Linked DNA regions of Drosophila melanogaster. The protein of the gene in region 3 interacts with the protein of the main gene of each other region in a pairwise test. Each region holds a gene or a part of one and is shown on either strand. Other genes may lie near its edges.

Region 1 (7,569 bases), on a different chromosome or scaffold from region 3:
AATACGTAGACAAACTGAGCTCCTGGTCCTCTTTCCCAGACAGTGGCCATAACATCGATGGACACTGTGATAAAAGAATATATATTATTAACAAATTAAATAAAATTTGCTGCTTTACTCTTACTTGTGCTCAAAAAGTGGCGATCCGCCTCAGCATTGAAAGTGATCTTCGGTGGAGGAGTCGTCGTGGTAGAAATAACCTCCACTTTATTTTCAGCAATGAGACGCTCCAATTTCGGTCGATTCTCGATAGATTCGTAGATATGCGGTAACTTAAAGATTTCTATTAAGAAGTGTTTAATTTGATTATAAAGTACAAGTACATTCTTAGGCTATCTTACGGCTCTCGCTCTTCAGCGATTCAGGTGTGACATCCTGCACGGAGTACTGCCTTCCATAGGCATACTGGGTGGCTTTGATGAAATCCCGATGAAGGATCTCCTTGCTGGACTCATCCATTTTATCAACGCTGCGCTCCCGGAAGATAAGTTTGGCACTGACTATTCCCTCGTACAGATCACCCGATATCATGATCAGCGTTATGTTCCATAGTATGGAGAATACTGCTATCATGACCATGAGACATATTACTATATCTGAATAAAAAACAAAAAAAAGTTTATAATAACATTAGTAATTTAAAAATTTAAAATTTTTAAATACATGGACAGCTGGACAAAAATTCAAAGTCTGAATTTTCTTTGGTTCCATTTTATTCTCTTATTGAATTTAGATTTTGCATTTTGAATATGGCACACAGACGTAAAAATTAGACAATGAAATCATACTTTTAACCTCTAGCACGCTTTAGCATTGCAAACATGTTGTTCTATCAAACGGACCGCTGACAAATTTGAATTTGAAATTAATGGATCGCAAATAGACATGGCTGCATTTGGAAAATCAACTATTTATGGCTCCGCCAGGAGCCGTGGATCAAGTATACGCACTGTTGCGAACAATGGATTTCGGAATTATGAGAATGGAAAACACCAGTGATTGAAGGTTAGACATTCGATAATTTATGGCTTTCTAGTTATGTTCGGCCTGACTTTGTTTGTTTTGTGTAAGAATCCGCTAACTGTGAACTGGTCTTCGTATATTAACGCTTTTGTGTGAGTTTCTATCGGCGGTATGATATCATGGCAAATGTTGTAGAGCTCGGTTAACGAGTCGGTACGAAACATTTTCAGATGACGTCGATACCGTGACTGCCTCCCAATAAAATTCATTTCAATTGATGCAAATATTCCCGCATATTGTTCGAAATAAAGAGAAAACAATTCGCTGGCAGAGTCAACAAACAGATTCGTGGATAAATATACGACTATGCTCGGTGTGCATAATAAAAGTCCCATGGCGGAACCTGTCAAAAAAGGGGAAAATGTTATGTTACCATTCCATTTTATGGTTCATAATGGACAGCTGTATTTTACAAGTTCGCCCATCTATATAGAGAATAGATCATGAGCTGCTGCCGCAGATTTCATGCCCCAAGTGCTTTGAACGCATTAAGCGGAATGTTTTTCTGCTTTTCGGCCGGCCACCGACTCATTTATACACATATAGATACGAAGCGATTTACTGCGCGTTGCACGATCCGTCGCAAAGTGGCACCAACGGAATGACATCATTTCCATCATGAATTCGCTCTCATCTCCGGAACATGGGTAAATAATATTCAGCGGTAGTCGAGAAGTCGACAGTCGTTAGCTCAATCGTTTTTGGCCAGGTTTCGTTACTGTATTTGGCCCAAAAGAGGCGAAGCCTCACAGAGAAAACTATAAATAAATATTACAAATAGCTTTGGGATGTAATCTCCACCAGCATTAGTCAACTCAACATAGTTAATTTTTTGAAATTCCATTTCAAAAATCCTATTGGAATTTGGAATTTCAAGCAGCTAGCAATTTTCCTATCACTCTTGACTAAATGTTTGTTTACAAACGACGGCACCCGGAAGTTTGGCACTTTAGCCAATTTGTTAATGCCATTAACAGGAACCACATGGCGAATACGTACTATGAACTTCGCCCACTCAAATAAACTTTCCCCCACTTATCGATAGATGAGAGCTGCATCAAATGAACTATACACATTTATAGGAAGAAGATCGGCAGACCCAGCAAGACAAGTGTGAAATTGTTTATATTCAAACACAACAAAGTTTATATTAGCGTATGGACCCAAAAAGCTGTTGGCCAATTTAGCACCTTTAATGAGTTGATTGATGCTATAAAAACTGTATAAAGTTGGCAAATTTAGCTAGCAGTTGAAAATGCTGGCAGGCCTTGTGTTTTAACTGAGACTAACGTTACAACAGCTATAATCTATGTCCGATGAATTGAAAAAACATAATGAATTTATATACAAGTTGAAGAGCAGGATTCCCACTGTGAATTCACGTATATCGAATTATTTATTGGGTCGGTCTCTGCCCATTCGAAATATTCAAAACACTCGAATACATATACTCAATCGGTTTATTGATGCTGAAAGACGCGCCCCCAAAAAGCAGCCTCCATGACTGATGGACAAAATCGTGAAATGGCTTTAATTGACTTGAACATTTGCTGTCAATAGCAGCAGACAGTTCACCTCAAATTTAACCAATTGGCTTTTCGCAGTACGACATTCGAATTTCTAAATGTTTCTATGGATCTTGCTTTTTATTTTGGGTTTCACCTTCTTCCGCCCTCCGAAGGCCGACCCCAAAAATGTATTTTAGGAACCAAGGGCTGCCCTCAGTATTATTCTACAAACAGTAAGCATATTAAAATTGTTAAAATATTTTATATATGACGTACGATTTATATGGGCAATATCGCTGGTGGTTAGCTTTCCTTGTTTGTATTTTTTTATCAGCTCCATTTTGGCATGTTAGTTTTGATTGCGGGTTTTTTTTTTTTTAATTTTTCACATCCGAAACATATTTTCAACACATTTATTTGGTATTTATCCACAAAACTTCTAATAATAGTTTTTAATTTACATCTGCTTTCCAAAGGCGATTTTTATGGGTCTTGCTGGAAATAAATTACGTGACTGATGGATTTCAAAAATAGGGCATAAACATTTCTTATTAAGACAATGTTAAACAATTTGTCAAAATCTTGCATTACTTTCTGAATGCTATTAAGGGTTGGTCACAAATAAGAAATATTTTGAACATTGTTCATTTGCCTCCTTATCGGGCAATAGTCTTTATCGTTTGCAATTTGAATTTTCTTAGTTTATGTGATTTCTACGAATCAAGAGGGAATGATTTATTTTGCAAAAATGGGGATTTACAAAACAGCGCACGGAAATTTATAAGAAATATAATTAAGAATTGCGATCATAGATTAAGCTTCCACTTTTCAGCAAACTTAATGTAGCGCGTAGCCTTTTTGATTTTCGCCTCGATTCTGTTCACTTGACCGATTGAAATAATTGAGATTAATTGATTTGAAATTACCGAAAGTGTGCGGGTGTATTTGTTTGTCTGTTTGTACATATGAAAGGTATCCAGGCGAATTTAGCAATTGTATTTCGAACACTTTGGCTATCAATTTACATTTGGCGCGACCAGCAGTTGTTCGGGATTTCAATTTCCATTTCTATTTTCCTGTCACATTACGTATACGTAACGAACCGAAATTAACACCTTTTCGTTCTCGAACATACATACAAACATACATACATATGTGTTTTCCAGTGGCTTAAAGTCGTTCGGAATGGGTGTTTTTGGTTTGGGAAAAGTGACATCCGTCTAAGCTCATGAGTCAAGGTCAAGTTTTGGGTTGGTTTGTGGTGGGAAATGGGAAGGGGATGTAGGCGCCTTATACTCGATTTGACATTTATGTGGGTTATTTACACTGCTTCGATATCACTGATTTGCATAAAAAGCGATGGCACTGTTAATTGCCAAACACGAAATTAATCCACGCGACGTTCGGGCACGCATCCAAAAGATATAAAACCGCACCGAATCGGTTCCAAATTCTGCGTTCTATTCGCTCGCAATCCGTCTGACTTTCGTGACTGTTGTTCAGACACTGAGGCGACTATATGCCAGTCCATAATTCTCCAGCCGATTTCGTCTTTCTCTCGCTCTCATTCGCTCCACAGAGAGCGATATCTACAGCTCAAGTTCACTATGTGTTTGTTGCTTTTAAGGCGGCTCTCCGGAGCGAGCTTCTTCAGTTTTGTTTTGATTTCGAAAATCTGCAACTGGTTGTTTGGCTTTGTTTTGATTTGGTTCTTTCGTGTTGTTGACTGTTTTCTTGTTTTTTTGTTTTCTTGTTTTGTTCATAACCAACGGCGTGCGTGGGATGGGAATTCATTGTTTTATTTTTACATTCTAATTGGTGCGAATGTGGGTTTTGAGAATAACTTTGAAACGTAGTTTAAATTACGAAACAATTTGGCGTACATACCCATATCTCATTTCCATTTAATATATTTGCAGATTTATTTTATTCATAACTAATGAAAATGAGTCACACTGTTTTATTTCTGTGTACTCCTTGCTAACTACGCTTATGAATTTATACTCCCTAAAAAGTCTCCAGCTATTTGCCAAATTCATTATTCCCTTCATGTTTATTTATACAGTTTTATAAATAAACAAAAGCACAATTCGATTTGCATCTTCCATTATTGAGCTGCCTCAATCAGAAGCGCACATTAATCCGATATTCATAGAAACACAAATATCCTGTTCTGTTTGCAAGACCATTGTTTCGGCTTTTGGGCAGTTGCCATGGCCGCAATTATCGCCGATGACCTTGAAAGAACACGCCGCTTTTTCACGTCCAAGGTGAACTTAATTAGCGGCCAAAAGGCCTTCGAAGGACTCGTCGATGTGAGTGCTCCAAATCGCGTGCCTGGCAGGCATCTAGTTTTTTTCTGCTTCCTTATGCTAAACGCGAAACTTCATCTAACAATAACGCTCGTCACTCGGGAGCCGTTTAAGTTTTGAGGGTCTTATCGCAAATACTAGTCTCGTCATTTTCATTTTCATTTTTTTTCAAAAAGCTGATTTGAATGATATCACAATTTCTTAATAAACCACATATATTAAATTTCGTAACTCTACAAAGTAACTTGCTCTGTAATCTATAATTTGCGTAAGTCATGCTTATCGCGCTCCAAGCCTATTTGGAAACCAAAAATAACACCTCCTATTAAACTTGGCTAACCTAAACCAAACAATTACCACCCAAGGAACTTATTTATAGACTGAGTTGCGCCCAATAAAAACCATAATAACTATTTCCTCTGGTTAGAATGCCTTTCGCAGGCGATAAACATTTTTAGCCCTGACGATTTCTATTGAATCCACATCAACACATGTCATAATAAGGTCTTCGCCACCGTTAGATAAACAAGCAAATCATTCCTTGCCCCAATGTTGAAACTGGCGATGACGTCGTCCCCTTATGCAAATCCACAGCAGATAATGCGACGTACATGAATAAATTACAGAGTTACAAGGTTTCAGGTGAGTTATGGTGGTGATCAATCATATTCGAAACGAACTTGACTAGTAAAGTTTATTTTATAAAAAAAAATGCTTGCAATTTAAACATCTTACCATCATTTAAAAGTTATTTGAAAATATTTGTACAGTGATTTCAACACTTAAGCTTGGATGATTCAAGCATGTTCTACAGGGCGTATGCGCATTTTTTGATAAAACCACTTACGTTCGTAGCGTACCACTTCGCTTCTGGCTTCCCGGGTTAGCATCTGCAGACTATCACCAATCCGGCGTATCCTCTGCGGCCGGCTACCCATCTCTGATCCGCGGCACTTGGCAGCCGCATCTAATTACATACGTCTTTTTCGTCGTTTACAACAGACAAACAATTAGCAAAATTGCTAAACAAAAACTTAGCACTTGAGTGCGCATTATTGGACTCGATTCGCTCAGTTCGGTAGGACTTGGCACTAGCTTGGTGTGTCTGACCCGATGGAAAAGAAAAGCCACAACTGGAGACGTTCAGACGACACGACCGCTCGACGAGAACTGCGCGCACGCCAAGCGGCTATGGGTCATTAGGGGTATTTGCCGCTGCTCCGGGGAAAATTCAAATGCTATGGCGTCACTGGATAGTGGTGGTTACGCCACTATGCAAACAGCATAGAGCGTTCATAGATCCCTGCGAGTGGTGGGCTATCTTCGGGGGATGTATAACAAAGAAAAAAAGATTATAGAAGTCGAGCAAAAAAATATATAGCGTAATCTGAAACCTAGTATTTCAAAAAAGAAGTCATAAGCGAGCTATTTTCATATTTTATTTGTAATTATGTTCAAATGTTTAAATACTTTACCATTAAATTTTACCACATTTAGCTGAGACCATTGTCTTGGTACCTGGACATTTGCCATCTCTGATCCCTGGCAGCCAGACGACTTGTCTGTCCCTTTCAGGGGGCGGGCGGGTGCGAACCACCCCTGAAAAAGAAACTACCAAAAACAGGAGTCAAGGCAATGACCTCTCCGGGCCGGGCCCATAAGTCTGGGTCACCTGGGAGACGCCAAATGAGTGTCAGTAGAGCGATTGCGTGTCCAGCTAATTACTAGCAAACGTTAACAACATCTGGCAAGCAGGAAAAAGAAATACAAGTTCGCAGCTGGAGCTCAACTCTTTGAAATTCACGTTATTTATTGTACGAAAAATACTCGATTGTTTCTCAAATAAATTAGTAAATTAATATACATATTAAATCGTAGTTGTAAATGTATGTTGTATATAATGCGTTACTTGGTGTTAGTTACAAATTTCACATAGCATTAATTTGCTTTTCAATTTATTGGGTTTTGTTTGTGTTTTTTTTTTTTATACAAAAATGTTTACTCGCTTAAAGTTAATTGTGTTAATTAGACTACATATTTCATAAAACATTTGTGCAACAAAAAGGCATTGCAATTAACTTTCAGTTGCCCGTTTTACATAAATACAAAATTAACATATCTCGGTGTAAATATATATAAATATAAATCTATCAATTTGATCAATTCGTTGAAACAATTCGCAGTGAAATACAAATGAAGAACATCCCTATACTGGTTAATAAATCATCTTGTAACAATTTCATTTTTACACACAAATAAAAGGCGATTGTTTGAACAATTTTAGTTACTCTGTTGTTTTGTTTTCCTTTCTAAGACTCACACTCCTAGTGACGATTGCCATCGACAGTTGATAGGGTTTTGGATAGTAGAGAATGCCTACAACTAGGCTACCTATACCTATACATATAGCTCGATTACATAATACTAGTAGTTGATGTTTTGCTTTGAATGGGCAGAGCAAGTTTCTATGTTCGAATTTTGATTATTCTTGCATTTTGTGCGTGACACTTAAAACGATTTTCGAATTCTTTGAATTTGCGTCTTGTGGCCAAGCGTAAAATGTGACATAAAAGGAAAGAAATATATTTATAATATTGAATAACAGATTGCTTTGGATAAACAGCGCAGTACAGTGATTAAAACTGAGTAAATGCGTAAAAAGCAATTGTTCAGCTAGCTGATAATCAATTTGCACTCGAATGCTTAAAGCTCATTAACTAAATACT
Region 2 (5,997 bases), on a different chromosome or scaffold from region 3:
TCAAGAGGAAGCTCAAGCAACAGACGGCTGACCTGATACGGTAAGTTTCTAACTGATGGCGTTGTGGTCCATCTCTAATCTCTATTGTGTTTCTTCATTCAGCATCAAATCGATTCGCCACGAGCTAGACGATGAGGAGGAGGACCTGAATGATCTAAAGAAGCGCCGCAAGCAGCGCGCCGAGAAGGCCAAGTTTGAGCCGAAACGCCTGGGGCGTCACAAGTTCGAGGAGCCAGACCTAGACGTAAATCTGCCCGAGGATATCGCCGGAAATCTGCGCAACGTGAAGACTGAGAGCAGTCTGCTGAAGGACCGCTTCCACACGCTGCAACGCAACAATATGTTGCCCACGACAAAGCTCGTCAGCCGCAAGAAGTCCAAGGTCAAGCGCTTCGAGCGCAACTCCCACAAGGAGCCGGGCGTTAGCTATAATGACCTCAAGGAACGGCGCAGGGCGGCCGCCGCTGCAGCCAAGGCTACTGCCAATATCAAGATATAGTTCAGTTATTAGGTCTCTTTATTTTTAACGGAGCTTACAACAATATGTACTTTTCTATAGAATTAAAATCCACATTCTTTTTCCCCCCAAACGAAAAAAATTATGAACTCTAGATCAGGGACTTGCCCTGACTGCGTCTCTGTTTCGGATTGTTCTTCTTTTTCTTCTTGGACAGCGGAGCTGCCAGGTCGCCATCCTCACGCGTCTCGATTGGTCCATCCAGTCGCTTTACGCCACTGAAACGAAAGAGAGGCAAATACGAAATAAGTTATATTTTTTTTAACTGAGTGATGTTTATAATAAAACGAAACTGGAGACAAATAAATAAACGTGGTTATGTATTAAGCACATTATTAAAAAAAATAGGCGCACCTACCTCTTGACGGAGAGCAGCCCGCTGCCACCGCCTGTTCCGTTTGTTTCCAGCGCCTTGGACCAATCCTCTTCGGTGCCCTTGATTTGGAATTCGTCCAGCTGCTCGGCCTTCAGGCGCTTCAGCTCCTTGCGCTGCTGCTTGCTCAGCTTCTGAGCGGTTTGATCCAGCTCCTTGTCGAGGGACAGAGTCAGCGGTTGCAGTTCCTCGCCCTTGGACAGATCCGCCTCCCGCAGCATGCCGCCTTCGATATGCTCCTCCAGTACCGACCGGAAGCACTGATTGCACCGTTTCATGGCATCGAAAAATTTCGCCAACAACTGGTTACCCGGCATATTCAGCTCCAGACCCAACGCATCCACAGTCTTGCCCTGCACGCCCAGAGCCAAAAGGATGCCCTGCTGCACCAGGTCAAGCTGCAGACCATCGATCCTGCCCTGAAAATACAGCTGGGCAATGTCCGTGAGCAGATCGATGATTAGACGAAACTCGGACTGCTGGCGGGCGTAGCTCTCCAAGCGCTGCAGATCGTGCGGCAAGAAGTAAACATCCAGCATTGGCTTATCGAGTACTTTCAGTGCACTACCTTCCGTGTCCACGGACTTGTTCTTCAGCAAGGCCAAACAGAGTTTCGTCTCGAATTCCCTGAACGTCTTTCCCATCAACTTGAGGACTCTCCTGCGGAAGTCCTGGTAGTACAGGCCCAGCCAGGGCGTGGCATTGGGCGTGTGCAGCATAATGCAGCTATGCTCGGCGGTCAGTTCGTTAGATTTCTGGCTCAAATAGACGGGCACAAAGCCGGCGTTCTTCCAGAACTTCAGCAGCTCGGTGGTGAGGCCATAGGATGTGCCAATATAGTCCACGTGTTCCGGGACACGTTCGTGCAAGCGCTGCAGAAGTGTGGGTATACGACTACGTGGCCGGATTTGTTCCTTCAGCAGACTAAGTTCCTCCTCCTCCACTTCCTCGATACCTATGCAAAATTTAAAGTATTATGTAGTGCATAATAAACCATTGGCGTGCGTGCACTCACCTTTACCAGCATCCTTGCTGGCAACTGGACCGTCCTCCAGATTAGTGTGCTTCCTTGCATAGTAGTCCTTGAGCAGCTGAATGGCCCGCTTGCCATAGCCCATCCTCTGGTAATTCGGATGCGTGGCTACCCTCACAATGCGAACGCCACACAGCTTGGGAAAATCTCGATCGCCATACTGCTCGGCTACGTTCCAGGGAATCAGATCGCCCGCCGCCTTCTTGCCCCTGCCCAGGGAATCGCTGATGCTCTGGGCGGAGATCTGACCCTCCAGTGCCACTTGGATAACCACCAATATCTCTGGCAGGGCGTCCATTCGCTGAACCGGACCCAGTAGACAGAATAGATGATGCGCCGGGGCATCGCTCATCATCTGCAAATCGTTTGGTGTGTTCTTGTAGTGCGAGGACACATAAATGGAGACCAGGCGATGGAGAAAGGCCTCGGCAGCCTTGTGATACGAAAACAGGGCGTCCCTGTCCACATAGTACAGTTCACAAGCATCCGGCGTGGGACAGCCCGAGCTAATACTCGGCACCGTACTGGCATCCAAGCACAGCAGGTTGATCAGCCACTTTTCTATGTCGTCGTTCTCCTGATACCGAATCGATTCCTCCAGTTTCAGTGGCGGCCTTGCATTGTTATCCTTTTGCAGCTGGGAAATGAGCTTCAAGCTCAGCGATCTGCCAGTGCCCTCGTATCCATTTATCGTACTGGCCATGAATACCAAATACGGACCGATCATCTTCTTTACCAGCGGCAAAGGAATGGCAGCCGCCTCATCGATCAGCAGAAGATCGGCTGCGTTCAGCAGATGAGTATCGCTGGGAGCTATGTACTGAATGGTCTGCCTGCTGCTTCTCGTAATATTTATTCTTATTATCGCCTTTTTGTAGTCGGCATTGGTGGAGCGTATAATGGTGTAGTCAGCATGCTCCTGGTACTCCAAGGCATCGAAGCCCTTGAGCACAAATTCAAAGAGCGTGATTAAGTTCTCCGGATGCGGTGAGGTAACGTAGATGTTCACATAGCCAAAGGCGACGGCGGCGGCAATCGACAGACCCAGGGCGGCCGATTTACCACGACCACGAGCCGCTGTTAAGGACATGGGCGGCTTCAGTTGCTTGTCGACCAGCGCCTCAATGAACTGGGCAACGGCATTGGCCTGATCGTAGGTCTTGCAGAGATTAACCAGAGCTCCTGCTGGTTGAACTGTGAGCAGGCTCTCCTTCAGCTCCTTGAGGCTAGCCTCGTTGGGCGATCGACCGGCGCCTGCGGGCTGAAAGTTTAGAAACAAATGGTATTAGCTGCTTTAGAAGATTTACAAGCATCAGCTTACATTCACTGGCTCCACGTTGATGGTCTTGGAGCTAAGTGGCAGCACGGTGAGGTCATCGTTGACCACCAGACAGCGCTTGCAGTCCGCCAGGGAGAGAATGAGTCGCTCATTGAATCGACAGGTCACCGTCTGATGGGCTTCTGTGCGGAATCGCTTGTGCACATCCATGCTCATGGTGTACAACTGTTTCAGCGACTGCAGTGTCTTCAGCAGCAGGATGATCAGACCGCCGCCCTCAACCGTTTCCACAGTTCGAGCCAAAAGATTGGGGGTCAGGGCCTCGAAGTCCTGGAGCACACACACGCCGTAGGTTCGTCCGAGGACTGCGTGCGTCTCGGAGTAGTATCTGCCGTGAATGGTGGTGGCCACTCGAAAGGAATCGAACAGGTCCGCCTCATTGACATCCACTTTGCCCACAGCAATCTTCTTTGCTCGCTTTTTGCCATGACTAAAAATGTATCTAGTTAGCTGAGTTTCTGTGTAATAGTTCTACAGTTGGATACTCACTTGGAGATGGCCTCATCCTTGTTCTTGTAGCACCACAGGACCGTGGGTCGCGCCTTGACCGTCGACTTGGTCAGGATGTCGTAAAGAATGGGAACCTGGTCGCGCGCCTTGTCCCCGATGACGATGAACATGGTTCGGTGGCCCAGCTTGACCCCATTCTCGATCATCACGCGTATCCGGTTGTCTATTTTCTTCTTCACCATGCTTCGGCTTTCCTGCGTTCACTTTTCACTTAAAAACTCCGGTTTTCCGAAGTAAATAATGCAAATGAAATTGTTGCCCGTTCAAAATGCACGTGTGCGGTTTAGAGATGGGCGCTTTGTCGATAGTCGCGACTCAACTATCTACTTTACAATGTCACGGAAATCGTCAATCATATTACCATTGTGAAATGCACATGAATGTTGTTTACACGAAGTCTTAAATCGTAGAATTCGGGTGGGATTTGTATTGATGTCTTCAAGAAGGCAGCTTGAATTTCTACCAATGAGATTTTTTTAAAAATTCCCGATTAACACCACATTCGATGTTTTGAGTCAATGCGATACATTTATCGAGTAGTTGTGCATCTCTAATTCCCCAAGCGCACGTTTATCAAAACAGAACATATTTGATTGCTGTCGAGGATTAGCATAAATTGAAGATGTCATCGTGGAAGAATGCGTCGAAAAGCAACCAGAAGGTGCACAGGGAGCGCCACCAGCCGGAGTCGCGCCAGCATCTGGGATTCCTGGAGAAGAAAAAGGACTACAAGAAGCGAGCCATCGACGCACAGAAAAAGCAAAAGACCTTGAAGCTATTGTACCGCCGGGCGCAGAACAAGAATCCCGATGAGTTCTACCACCATATGATCAACTCCAAGCTGTCCAACGATGAGCACCACGAGAAGGACACGAAGGACGAGCACACGCCCGAGCAATTGGCCCTCATGCAGACGCAGGACCTCAAGTACGTGGTGATGAAGCGCACCATGGAGCGCAAGAAGATCGAACGCTTGAAGGCCTCGCTGGTGGACGTGGATGCCATTAAGGGAGCAGCCAACAAACGTATCAAATTTGACGAAGACGGATACATGGAGTTGGACATGGGCGAATGGCTTTTAAAGCATGATGACGAGGAGGAAGAGGAGGAAAAGAAGAAGAAATCGGTAGGTCACCTCTTTAAAACCAACGAGGTTGTAAGCTTTTGTGAGAAACTAATTTATAATTGATATTATACTTATGATTTATGATTCTACTTGTGTGTAACGATTGCCTTTAAATTTTTTGTAGAAAACAACTGAACCAAACCCCATCAAACAGCAGCGCATCAACGAGCTGAAGAAACGCGAGCAGCGTGAAAGGGAACTCGGCATCGTCCAGCAGAAGATTCAGCTGAAGAACACCCTCAAGCAGCCACGCCTACTGAAGCCGAGGAAAATAAAGCCGGGAACCAAGGACAGTGCGCCCGTCTACAAATTCCGCTACGAACGCAAGAAATAGAATATTTCCCCTCTAGTTAATAAAGCAATTAAGTGTTAGTTGAAGACTTTTGACAAAACTATGATTTTTATTGTTTTGGATTAAGGAATTACATATATAATTCCCAATTTTGAATGCAATTCAAATGCAAGTAACAAGTTAAATGAGATATGGCATCCTAGTTTTGGGTCATTAATTCGAATGTTCTGATCAGAATATTTATATATACCGAATAGAATAATATATACCGAAAAAAAACAAGAAAAAGTAAAAGCGAATGGGTATGTAACTCGACTAAACGCTTTTTTCAGATTCGTTAAATATTTAACGAAATTTAGATCTTTCCAGGGCACAAACCAAATTTAGTGCGAGTTTCGTTAAGTTAGGTACGCTTAGCCAAGTCATGACCCCAACTTCAAACTGAATTTAAACATTTGTAATGTTTTATTTAAAAAGTCAGCTTATTTTTTAAATTCATTCTTCTTATCTCCGAGGAACATTTCAAGACTAATATTTTATATGTGCTCTTGCAAGTTAGTGTATGCAACATAAGTTTTCAATATTCAATGTAACTTTTTTATGTTTGTCTTTTGTAAAAATAAGCAACCGGCTGCAACTTTTCGAATTGAAAACCGCAGGCGACAGACAACCGGGCAAACACTCCCCGTATCTCTTTTTTTTTTTTCTTTTTTGTTTGCCTGCTGGTCCTTGTTTTCCCCGATTAAAAACATATGACACCATTTTGATGAGTCGCGCATTTTGGCACGCCAAATTATGCATAAAATA
Region 3 (4,964 bases):
TGTGAGACTTACGTTAAAGAGCATTAGGGGTATTGCGAACTTGTTCCGCACCACCAGCGATCGTTTTCTTTCCAGCGGTTCACCCTCGACGCCTTCTGGCGAGGTGGTCACAAATCTGGTGGCATTTCTGTCGAAGGTGAGCCCTCCATGGAAGATTTCCGCTCGCACCAGCACTGTAAACGGCTGATCCGCACCAGGACTGGTACTGGACTGGTTACTGTTGATCACCAGCAGATCATTAATGATCTCATCGCCTTCGAATAGGCTGGCATCCAACACTATACTTGTGTTGTTTGCGTCAAACGAGAGACCCGGAATCTGGCGAAGGTAACTGCCGAAGAGTTGGCGACTCTCGTCGTTCCGAACGTCCAGCTTGAACTGTAGTGCATCCGGAGCATTTAAAGTGGCCACACGGCCAAAGTCCGCCAGTGGATTGCGGGCGTACACAGAATGTCGTGGCAGAATCTCAAATTCGACAGGAATAAAAATATCCAGTTCCTGCTCTGCGACCTTGATGCGTATGTAGGCGCTGTGATTGCCAGCTGTGCGGCCGTGAAATGATATCCTAATGACCGGCTTTAAAGTGTGTGGAGGAATTTTCCACAGATTTTGTGGGCCCTCCGAGCCACCGCTGGGCAACTCTAACTGAAACTCGCCGCCGCTGCTGTATATCTAAAAGACATGGTTATGGGTAATATACCTACAGAGTGTTGATTAAAACCTACCTCAAGTATCTGCAGCGGCCGCTCGTGCGGGTTGTACATGTGAATCTCTGGCGTGAGTGTCGCATTCATGGGCGCCTTAATGCCCACCAACGGCTTTAGGCGGTACGGGCACTCACTGCCCTCGCCCTGTACCGCCAACTCGGCCTGGCCGAAGGAGGTGTGAATGAGAAGGTCGGCGGCAATGGCGCCTAGTTGGCGCGGTAGGAACACCACGTTGAAAGTTGTATTGCCTTGCGGCGGCACCTCTCTCGTGCCCAGGAAGCTGCTGTAGAACGCCGGACTTGGTCCGGCCACCGCGTTCAGCTGGAGCGTTCGATTGGAGTGTTGATTGAATAGTGTCACCGTCTGAGAACGCGCCTGGCCGACGGACCACGTTCCAAAGTCTAGACGGGACGGCACAAGCCGAAGGTCCCCCAAATCGTGGATTGGTGCCTCCTGCAGCCCCAGGAAAGTCTCCTGCAGGACCTTTTCACCTTTGGCGCCCAAAGTGAAAAGGAAGATTAGGATGAGCAGGATGGGTTCTGCGAATATTCGCAAAAGCGGCCTCATCTGGACTTGTGTGGGCATGGCGTGCGTTCCCTTGATCCTGGGATGCTGTGTGTGTGTGTGTTCGTGTGGGCGGCGATGGCGCAGCTCCTGGTAACCGACTTTCTGTCCAGCTGCTAATCTAAATTGGAGTTTCCTTGGCGTTGCGCTTTATTTATATTATCCAATATCGCTGGCCAAAAATTATTATCGCTTTTCGGTGTGACCGCCGTGGAATACATAAAACATACCATCCGGCACAGGGAAATACTAATCATATGATCATTTTAAAAATATACCATTAAAGCACAGAATCCTTTTTTAAGGCGCATCAGGTGGCTACATAAATTGCTTGATATATGGGCTTATGTTTAGTTGATTTCTTGCTGGTAGTATAATTTAAGCGTTCAATGGCATGCGATTAAATTTAACATTGTATTGTAGCAGATTATTAAAATAATGAAATATTTATATATTATTAAATATATATAAAAAAATATATATTTAATTTGTTTACTATAAATGCTATTAATATTATAGAGCCTAGCGCATACAGTTAATACTGTATATAATATTACATACTGTTGCGCAGTATTTTAAAACGCGCCAAAAAGTATGCTCGAAAAAAATTAATAACAAAATGTATCGCCATGTATTCGAGGGAAAACAGTGAAAGAGCTATCGAAACTTGGCCATCGCTAGCTAAAGAAACGACAACCGAAAGAAAGTTGCAGTTTAGTTTACGTGTTAAAATTAATCGCAGGTCGTGAAGCTGATTTAACTAAAGTGAGTGCTCTCGTCGCCCGTTAATATACCCGCGTATATACACCCACAATTTCATTGAATAGTGACGAGTACAAAGGAAAACATGACCAAATGAAATTTCGCACAGATCGTTCGGCTTGCTCCACGCACTTACACTCACACACACACACACACACACACACACACACACACACTATAATCACATATTCGCTGAATATTGCAGAAATATTAATGCGAAAATCAGCAAGCATTTTGCAATAATTACTGAAGGCGAAGATTAACAGCTATTTGACCCACGAACGGTGATGCAACAGCCCTATTGATTTTGCCCACTTTCACCGCTTACAACATTTTTAGTTTGGGCTTCGGTTTCGGTTTCGCATTTAGTTTTTTTTAGTTTCACCAGCAGGGCAGCCAATTTGCATACGCATCGGCTAGGCGTGAACTTCGTTTCCAGATGTAAATTAGATCGTGTGTACTTGCAAAGTCATCAGCCCCCTTCAATGTGCGCTCTTCATCGAATTAGATTCCATGCCATTTCCGATTTGCTAGCCATTGGCTGTTCATGTATTTTTGGGAGAAAGTTCGGCCCTCAGCCAAAGTGACCCACTGACTTGACTAACTGGGCTTGATATCCAAGCTGCAATGATATGTTGATAACCGGTTCTACAAAAGGTGCTTCCCCACACCCAACGCAATGGTAATGGTCCAGGGCCAGATCCCGTTGCAGACCTAATCTCTGGGAAACAACCATCTGGTTGAGCGAGAGCCATGTACATATCAACACATAAGCCGAAAATTCTAAAGACCCGAAGCCGTTGGAGTCGCGAAGCTTGAAAGCCGAGGCAGCGCCACGAAATCGAAATCAGAATACGCCTGTTGCTGGCTCATTTTCATGGATGGTGCTGTCGCGCATTCGATTTCAGTTTACTTCCAGACCCGACGACGTGCAGGTTGATTAGCTAGCTGCCCAGCCTGTAGCTACCCAAAGCTGAAGCCGCCCAGCACGCACACTTTGAAACTTACTCGAAACCTATTGCACCTGCACACAGTCGTGCTCTAATCAATTCTAAGTAAATAAATCAAAGTTTGAAAGTACAGACAAAGTCAAACGGTACGCGCGAACACACGAGACCCTCCTTTATTTGTATTTGAAAGAAGGCTATATTAAATCTTAATTGATTTGTTTTTATATATTTTTGTATTTTTGTTTTTTTGTTTTTTTGTATATTCTGTAGCTTCATCATGTCGGCGAAAGCAATCACCGAGGCCTCCGGCAAGGACATCCTGAACCGCCATCTCAACACCCATGGCGCCGGCGCGGCCACTTGCCGTTTTTCCACAGTAAATTCCACGACAGATTGGTCCAAGCTCGCCGTTGACCATCCCTGGCTGCTGACCACGGTGAGTGCCAGTTAAAAATAGCCGCGAAACTCGCGGAACTCGACGATTGCGAATCAGCCGATATGTAGGAACAACAATTGGGCCAGCGACAACAAACGCTCGGCGGGATTGTCATTGAACTTGACCTCGTGGTGGACGCTTCGACCACCACGCCGATGCCGAATGACTAAGCGCGGCTCCTGATAAGAGCGAATTGGGCGCCAGTCGGTCGCGCGAGTTGATCGCTGGAAATTGCGGAGTAGACGGACGGACGCGGGCGCAGACCGACAGCTCACCCCATGGCGCACTCTGGTTTTTATCAGATTGCCGGGGACCCAGTCGTAGGTCGCGTGGCATGGCGTGGTCTTGGCCCCTTTGGTTATCCGCCGGCGGATCAGGCTCACCTCATTTGCGAACACGATAAGCGTGCGTGGAGATTGGGATTCACGATCACGCAGCTATCTCTGATTGACCTTCCGATCGATAGTGGAAAGTTTGGCTGTAGCCAAGTACTTATCTTGAGCACTTATAACGGTTGAGTGGGAAATAAGGGGAAGCTAACATGTTCCGTGTTTGTTTTAGAAAACCTTTATCACCGAAATCCATATGTTCGAAATCTTATCATCAAGTTATTTGTTGATTTTGGAGCGTCTCAATTTATTGACCTTACCTAGCATTGTTGCGCCGCCTGAATTTCTAAAGAATAATTTCAATTCAAATATGCCGGAGATTTTAAAGTGGCGAAGTGTCGCTGAGTCGAGTGGGGGATTCAGGGAACTACTCTACTATCTTTCAAACAATTTTCGCAAAATAATATATTCTATTGAAATGTGATCAGTTAAAACTTATCTATAAGTTGTTTGTTGACTCTAGAGGGAGCGTCCCTATACTTAGTCTTAGTAATCTAAAGGCAGGATTGTGAAACTCTGATTATCAGGAAGGTGTTTTAATTTATGACATGCAGATAGAAGGTATTAACTTTCTGATTTAATAGACTTATTGTCTTGTTGTCACGTTTTCGTTTGAAGTGCATAATACTTTTATTACGTTACTGATAATGATGTTTACCCCACTGAAGGGGGAGAAGCAAACAATCAAACACAATACAACTCCCTTTAAATAGTTTCACTTAGAGCTATTAGTTTAATATTTTGATCTCGTAATTTTATATGCAATTAAGATAGATCCGAAATTTAGTGAGCATAATGGGAGTTCTTTCGGCTTTAATTACACGACAAAGTGAATCGCCTGACGGACATCTCGGATGATATTTCGTAGTCGGACTGTTTGCTCAATTTACACTCGTACGATCTTCTAATAAGCATATGAGATGTGTTTTTGTGTGGGCACAAGTACAAGTTCGGGTAAGGGTACGAGCACTGGCATTGTCATTGGCAATGACGCGGGAACGACCCCTGATGTTATCGGCTGATCTTTTCGACAGATGCTGATCGTTGGAACCGGCTTTTTTACTGACGCGCCGAGATCAGAAGGCACAAGTTCAACGATTTGTCGCTTATTTCATTTATATTTAGCATACATTTAATTAGCCCCGTCCTTTCCTTT
Region 4 (4,700 bases), 5.7 Mb from region 3:
CTCCACTCTAGAGGGGACAGAAAAACTTGAATATATGTATTATCTTTATGGATATTTTCCACAGGATAACCTTACCTATAATCTCCGCCCATAGGTATTGAATCCCTGATGATAACTGGGGACATTTCCCGCTTTAAGCTATGTTCAGGCTCCACACTGCGGCTGTCATCCTGCTCCGTCAAGTCAGTTCTACGGAAAGGGGGCGGGTCTGCCGGTGGAGGTGGCATTCTATAGTCCTCCAGCGACTGCCTCTGGCTACCTCTCTCCAGACCCAACTGTTCCTCCAGATATTGCTTCGGTGAGAGTACAACGTCCCTGCTAACGGGCCTGCTTTGGTTGGGTGCCACTCGCTCCTCTCCGCCGCTGCTCGAGCTGTTCATGTCCTGGATCATGGTGGCCAGTGGGGAGAGAGGTCCTTCATCCTGCTTCATCGACATAATCATTTTGGAGCTGGGCCGCAATCGTGGGATGCGTGTGAACTCTGGAAAGTGCTGTGGCGCCGGACGGAACCAATCCCTTCCCGAATAGGAGTCACTGAGTAATCTAAGAGGAGGTAATCACGAAGGATTAGTTTGGATAATATATTGGTGTATTCAAATACCAACCCCCTGTGGTCCTCCGTCGTGATGCTGGACACACTCAACTTGGCGGGCGCTTGGCTAGGAGTCCTCGTCGGCTCATCTTCCTCATCATCGAAAGACATTCTCTGACCGACTACGGTGTACTCCTCGACCTCGTTCTCCAAATCATAAACGTCCGGCTTGTTCAGAATGTCATCGGGGGCCAGGAGCCGATAGTTAGGTGAGCCCAGTTGCTCTGAACTGGAGCCACCGCTCGAGTTGGGCAGAATCTGGATGTCGGGTGGCTGGAGATAAGGCAGTAGGGATCCTCGGGGAGTCCTCGAGTACGGGACACTCGGAAAGATGCGTTCCCTGGCCGCAGGAATAAGTGCGTTCAGCGCCATGGCGGCCACCAGCGCATCCTCCTCGGAGCTGGGCAGTTCCACAGACCCATTTCGCAACGTCTCAAATGCTGCTGTTCCGAAGTAATCATCCGGCTGCAGAGGCGGTGGAACCGGATCCCCAAAGAGGCTACTATACGGCTGGGCATCCGACTCCGAGGGCTGGCGCACAAAGCTCTGATTGGAGGCGAACGTGGAGGGTGCCATCGATTGGGCGGAGAGAATGGAGCGGGTGGTATGGGTGCGATAGCTATAATCAACCGGGATGATGGCCGGCTGGAACGCGGACTCGCCTCCAGTGGATCTGGGTCGTGGTATTGGGTTCGTACTTGGACGTATGTTCAGATTCGGTGTCAGATTCGGGTTCGGTGGCGGCGTCTGTGCGGCTGAGGCTGATGGCATGGGCATCGGGGATGGGGATGGCGATGATGATGAGTACGAGAGGGTCTGCTGCATGGCTTGACATGGGTGCTAACCGATCTTCGGCCCTCATGCATTCACTATGATTTCCTATCCATTGTTGCAGCGTTTTTGCGAAATTCAGTCGTGGTTGCAGTAGTTGGAAGCCGATTTCCACGCAGGACACTCCGCGTTCGTCCTTCGCTTTAGTTTAAGTGCCACAAAACCAATGACGCCAGGAGCTGTTTATTCGAAGCAACAGAATGTATTTAAAAATCACTCACAACACCCATGTGCGCACATCTTTTGATTCCACAGACAGACGACCAGCGAGACCTTCCGGCCCTCTTGCAATGTCAGAGAGACGTACACGCGACGCCTTCACCGGCGGAGAACGGATAACGGAACGAGGAGCACGGAGCACGGAGTAGGCAGTCCCAAAAACCGGAGAGCGAAACTGAAGGGCTGCCGGTTTCATTGCCAATTCGCAGTGATGGAAAAGGGTATTGAGTATGTTTACCTGGGCGAATTTTTAAAAATAATAATAAAAGTAATTTCTGTCTTCATACCAAGTAACTTTTTTCAAATATCCTAAATTTTTAATAGCTTGAGTAAAGTAATTTAAATTCATCAGCAATTAAAAAAAAGTAATTAGGTACAACTGCCCGGATACGTCCGCTTCCATCACTGGTTGTGGCAAAAATAGTAGAGTAATTATTACTGCACGGCTTTATTTTCTAATGCCATTTCACTCCACATTCAACTATAAATAGCTGCGTGCGAGGCGCTGATAAAGCCGCCCCGAAACCAAACCGATTTGAAATCGGAATCGTTATGGTATGCCATGCACCTGCTGCTATATGCGAATCCGAGTCGGACTCCCAACTCCCAAACGCTTGTCTTGGCGCTAACGAGAGCATAACTTGATGAGGAGGCCTCAAAGGCTTGAATGGGGGGAATGGGGATGGGGATTTGCTTTTGGGCGGATGGCTTCGGCTTGGCTGGCTGCACCGGCGTTGCATGTTGCAAATTGCCGCATTAGTGACTGCACTTGAAGTCGAACGACCCGGCAGATGTGGAAGCCAGCGGGCTGAGACTATCCTATCACCAGAAGAAGGCGATGGTTTAATTGGAGCTGTGCGGCTGGGTACGCAGATATTTTAGCGAAATGACGTAGCCCATGAAGGTTTTGGGGGGGAAGGTGGAGGAAAGGTGTGAATGAATGGCCTTTGTTCGCATTGATTTTCCTCTGCCTAATATTTAACCTACATTTTATGGCCCGCCGCTCGAATTTCGGTGACACACTTTGGGCCAAAAGGAAGTGACTTGGCCGGCTCCTTTTCGTTCCTTTCGTTTTGTTTTGGCCATGACGCGTTTTGGGGGAGTTGGCCGGCTCCCAGGCGGCTTAAGCTTCCTATTTGCGAATTGGTTTTTTAATCGCTTGCCGCATTACACGCAGTTTTCTTGCATCTCATTAACGCTCGGTCACACTTGAATAACGAATTTTAATACCTGCCACGTCCACACTGACTGTGTTAGTTTGGTCCTGGAGCGCATTATATAATTTACATTTGGGTTTTAAGTTTAGTCTAATTCGGAAATAGAATGTATTTGCTGAAAAGCCGCAACAAATAATGGAAACGCGACGAAACGTGGCCGCTGCCTAACTTAAACTGATGGCCGACCAGCGGTAAGTGAGCAAAATGGAGGCCTTCAAGAGAAATATTGCCTACACTTCAAATCCAAAACAGCACACAATGCCCCCCCCCCCCACACACACACACACTCGGTGCCCCAACAGTTTGCACACGCAGACCCGCTGAGATATCGAGACTGGCGAACTGAAAAGCCGAAAAGAAAAGGCGACCGGGGGCGCCAATTCGCCGCGACTTTTCCGCGAGTTTTCCGCATTTCGCCGCCTAGCGAGGCGGCTGCATTAGCCGTTTGCATGTCGTTGTGTTCATCTGTGCGGCGTGTGCTTCTTTCTCAGCTCTTTCTGCCTCTTAGACAACTTTTGATTGCTTCCCCCAGTTTCCCCCGGCTGGCTGTGACACCTGTTGGTATGTCTGTGGCACGCGATGTTCCAACACTTTTGTACTTCTACGCCGCACTGCCTGCCACCGAGAAGCTCAGTCAGCTAATTTTTCATACTTTTCGGGATGCCTCATAACTTTAATGCCACTTGTATCTATTGAATGCACGCATGTATTTCAATGAACACTTTCGCTCATTTCACTTTAATGCAGTTTTATGGAGTTGGAGATTGCACATAAGAGCTCTGATTGAACGTAATGATAGGTATTAATAAAAACTTTCCTTTACTGTGTTCAAAAAAATCAGTTTAAAATACGCCTATTGATTTAGTATTGAAAGTAAATATATCCTTATTTTAAGTGTTTGAATATTTTATCCGCTAGAATGTCAAAAAATAGTTATGCGTCGCCCAAAAATTAGGATCACTTAATCACTGTGTGAAAGGTGTCTCTGCCCATAAATATTGCAAAAGGCTTCGGCAGAAGGACGCTTTTCCTGCACTCGACTGAGTGAGTATAAGACCCTCGGCGAGTACACTGCACTTTCCTTGGCTTTGGAATAGGGTCAAAACCGCAACAAATTCCGCGTTGCCTTGTGCAGCGGCTAGGAGTCAACAACACTTGGCCCGCAGCTACGAACTCCTTGGCCAGCCGGGCACTGTTGCAACATCAAGACAACAACGGCAGTGGCAGCAATAACGCCTAAAGACAGGTATGTGTGCAAACACAGACCACCCAAACCAAAGCCACGAATCCCTCGGAACGGGGGGACTTTTAAGTGGCAGTGCCGGAGAAATCCTTGGCTAATGTCGTGTTAGCCCCCAAAAACCCGCCCCTTGTGGGGTCCAACTCGAACCCCCAGTGGAGTCACACGGAGTCACAAGTCGGGGAATTCCTAGAGACATCTACGAGTTAATTGTTTTGGGCTTTTTCACTACACAACCGAGTTGGAAGTTTTTAATGTTTGCGATATATCCGACGATTTCTATCCGATTTTAGGCAGTTTGGTTTTAATTTTTAATGCACCGTTACTTGTAGAGTTATTGTCATAAAAAAAAAGGTGAGAGATTTTCAAATAAAAAACTGAATACCCAAAAAATTCAACGCGCATTTGCATCGATCCGATGCACTGCACTCGCCGTTCGTAGAAAAACTAATCCGCCGTGGGCAAATACCTTCTTATACATCGTCCTGCGCCGTGGAGCTCCACGGCAACTGACCAGTCGGGTTTAGGTGAAGAAACCACCGAAGAAAGCCGAAGTCCACGTTTGGCCAGCCACACGGGTATACGTGGGTCAGTAAACCTA

What was found.
Region 1: the proteins of ATPCL (region 3) and CG14253 interact in a two-hybrid assay, tested with the Drosophila melanogaster proteins (one large-scale study listed by BioGRID).
Region 2: the proteins of ATPCL (region 3) and l(1)G0020 interact in a two-hybrid assay, tested with the Drosophila melanogaster proteins (one large-scale study listed by BioGRID).
Region 4: the proteins of ATPCL (region 3) and stum interact in a two-hybrid assay, tested with the Drosophila melanogaster proteins (one large-scale study listed by BioGRID).

The regions. Positions count from the first base shown.
Region 1 is NT_033777.3:26,976,990-26,984,558, reverse strand, and holds the start of CG14253 (uncharacterized protein), read right to left. Parts: upstream 6,019-7,569; 5' UTR 5,897-6,018; coding exon of another isoform or gene 5,837-5,896; 5' UTR 5,782-5,836; coding exon 5,691-5,781; intron 4,042-5,690; exon of another isoform or gene 3,458-4,041; intron 3,046-3,457; exon of another isoform or gene 2,872-3,045; coding exon of another isoform or gene 2,808-2,871; intron 597-2,807; coding exon 342-596; intron 284-341; coding exon 125-283; intron 65-124; coding exon 1-64. Other genes in the region: CG46313 (uncharacterized protein), read right to left, coding at 5,837-5,896.
Region 2 is NC_004354.4:8,716,212-8,722,208, forward strand, and holds l(1)G0020 (lethal (1) G0020), read right to left. Parts: upstream 4,067-5,997; 5' UTR 3,955-4,066; coding exon 3,752-3,954; intron 3,693-3,751; coding exon 3,245-3,692; intron 3,185-3,244; coding exon 1,906-3,184; intron 1,846-1,905; coding exon 876-1,845; coding exon of another isoform or gene 872-875; intron 855-871; exon of another isoform or gene 736-854; coding exon 609-735; 3' UTR 502-608; downstream 1-501. Other genes in the region: CG1785 (uncharacterized protein), read left to right, coding at 1-40, 103-499; CG1789 (uncharacterized protein), read left to right, coding at 4,395-4,898, 5,023-5,232. UniProt on the Drosophila melanogaster protein: RNA cytidine acetyltransferase with specificity toward both 18S rRNA and tRNAs. Catalyzes the formation of N(4)-acetylcytidine (ac4C) in 18S rRNA. Required for early nucleolar cleavages of precursor rRNA at sites A0, A1 and A2 during 18S rRNA synthesis.
Region 3 is NT_033778.4:15,998,260-16,003,223, reverse strand, and holds the start of ATPCL (ATP citrate lyase), read left to right. Parts: upstream 1-1,933; 5' UTR 1,934-2,036; exon of another isoform or gene 2,037-2,043; intron 2,044-2,936; exon of another isoform or gene 2,937-3,129; intron 3,130-3,253; 5' UTR 3,254-3,260; coding exon 3,261-3,419; intron 3,420-4,964. Other genes in the region: Tmem131 (transmembrane protein 131), read right to left, coding at 1-672, 726-1,292.
Region 4 is NT_033778.4:21,673,232-21,677,931, reverse strand, and holds the start of stum (stumble), read right to left. Parts: upstream 3,032-4,700; 5' UTR 2,630-3,031; intron 1,859-2,629; exon of another isoform or gene 1,603-1,858; 5' UTR 1,418-1,602; coding exon 606-1,417; intron 544-605; coding exon 76-543; intron 8-75; coding exon 1-7.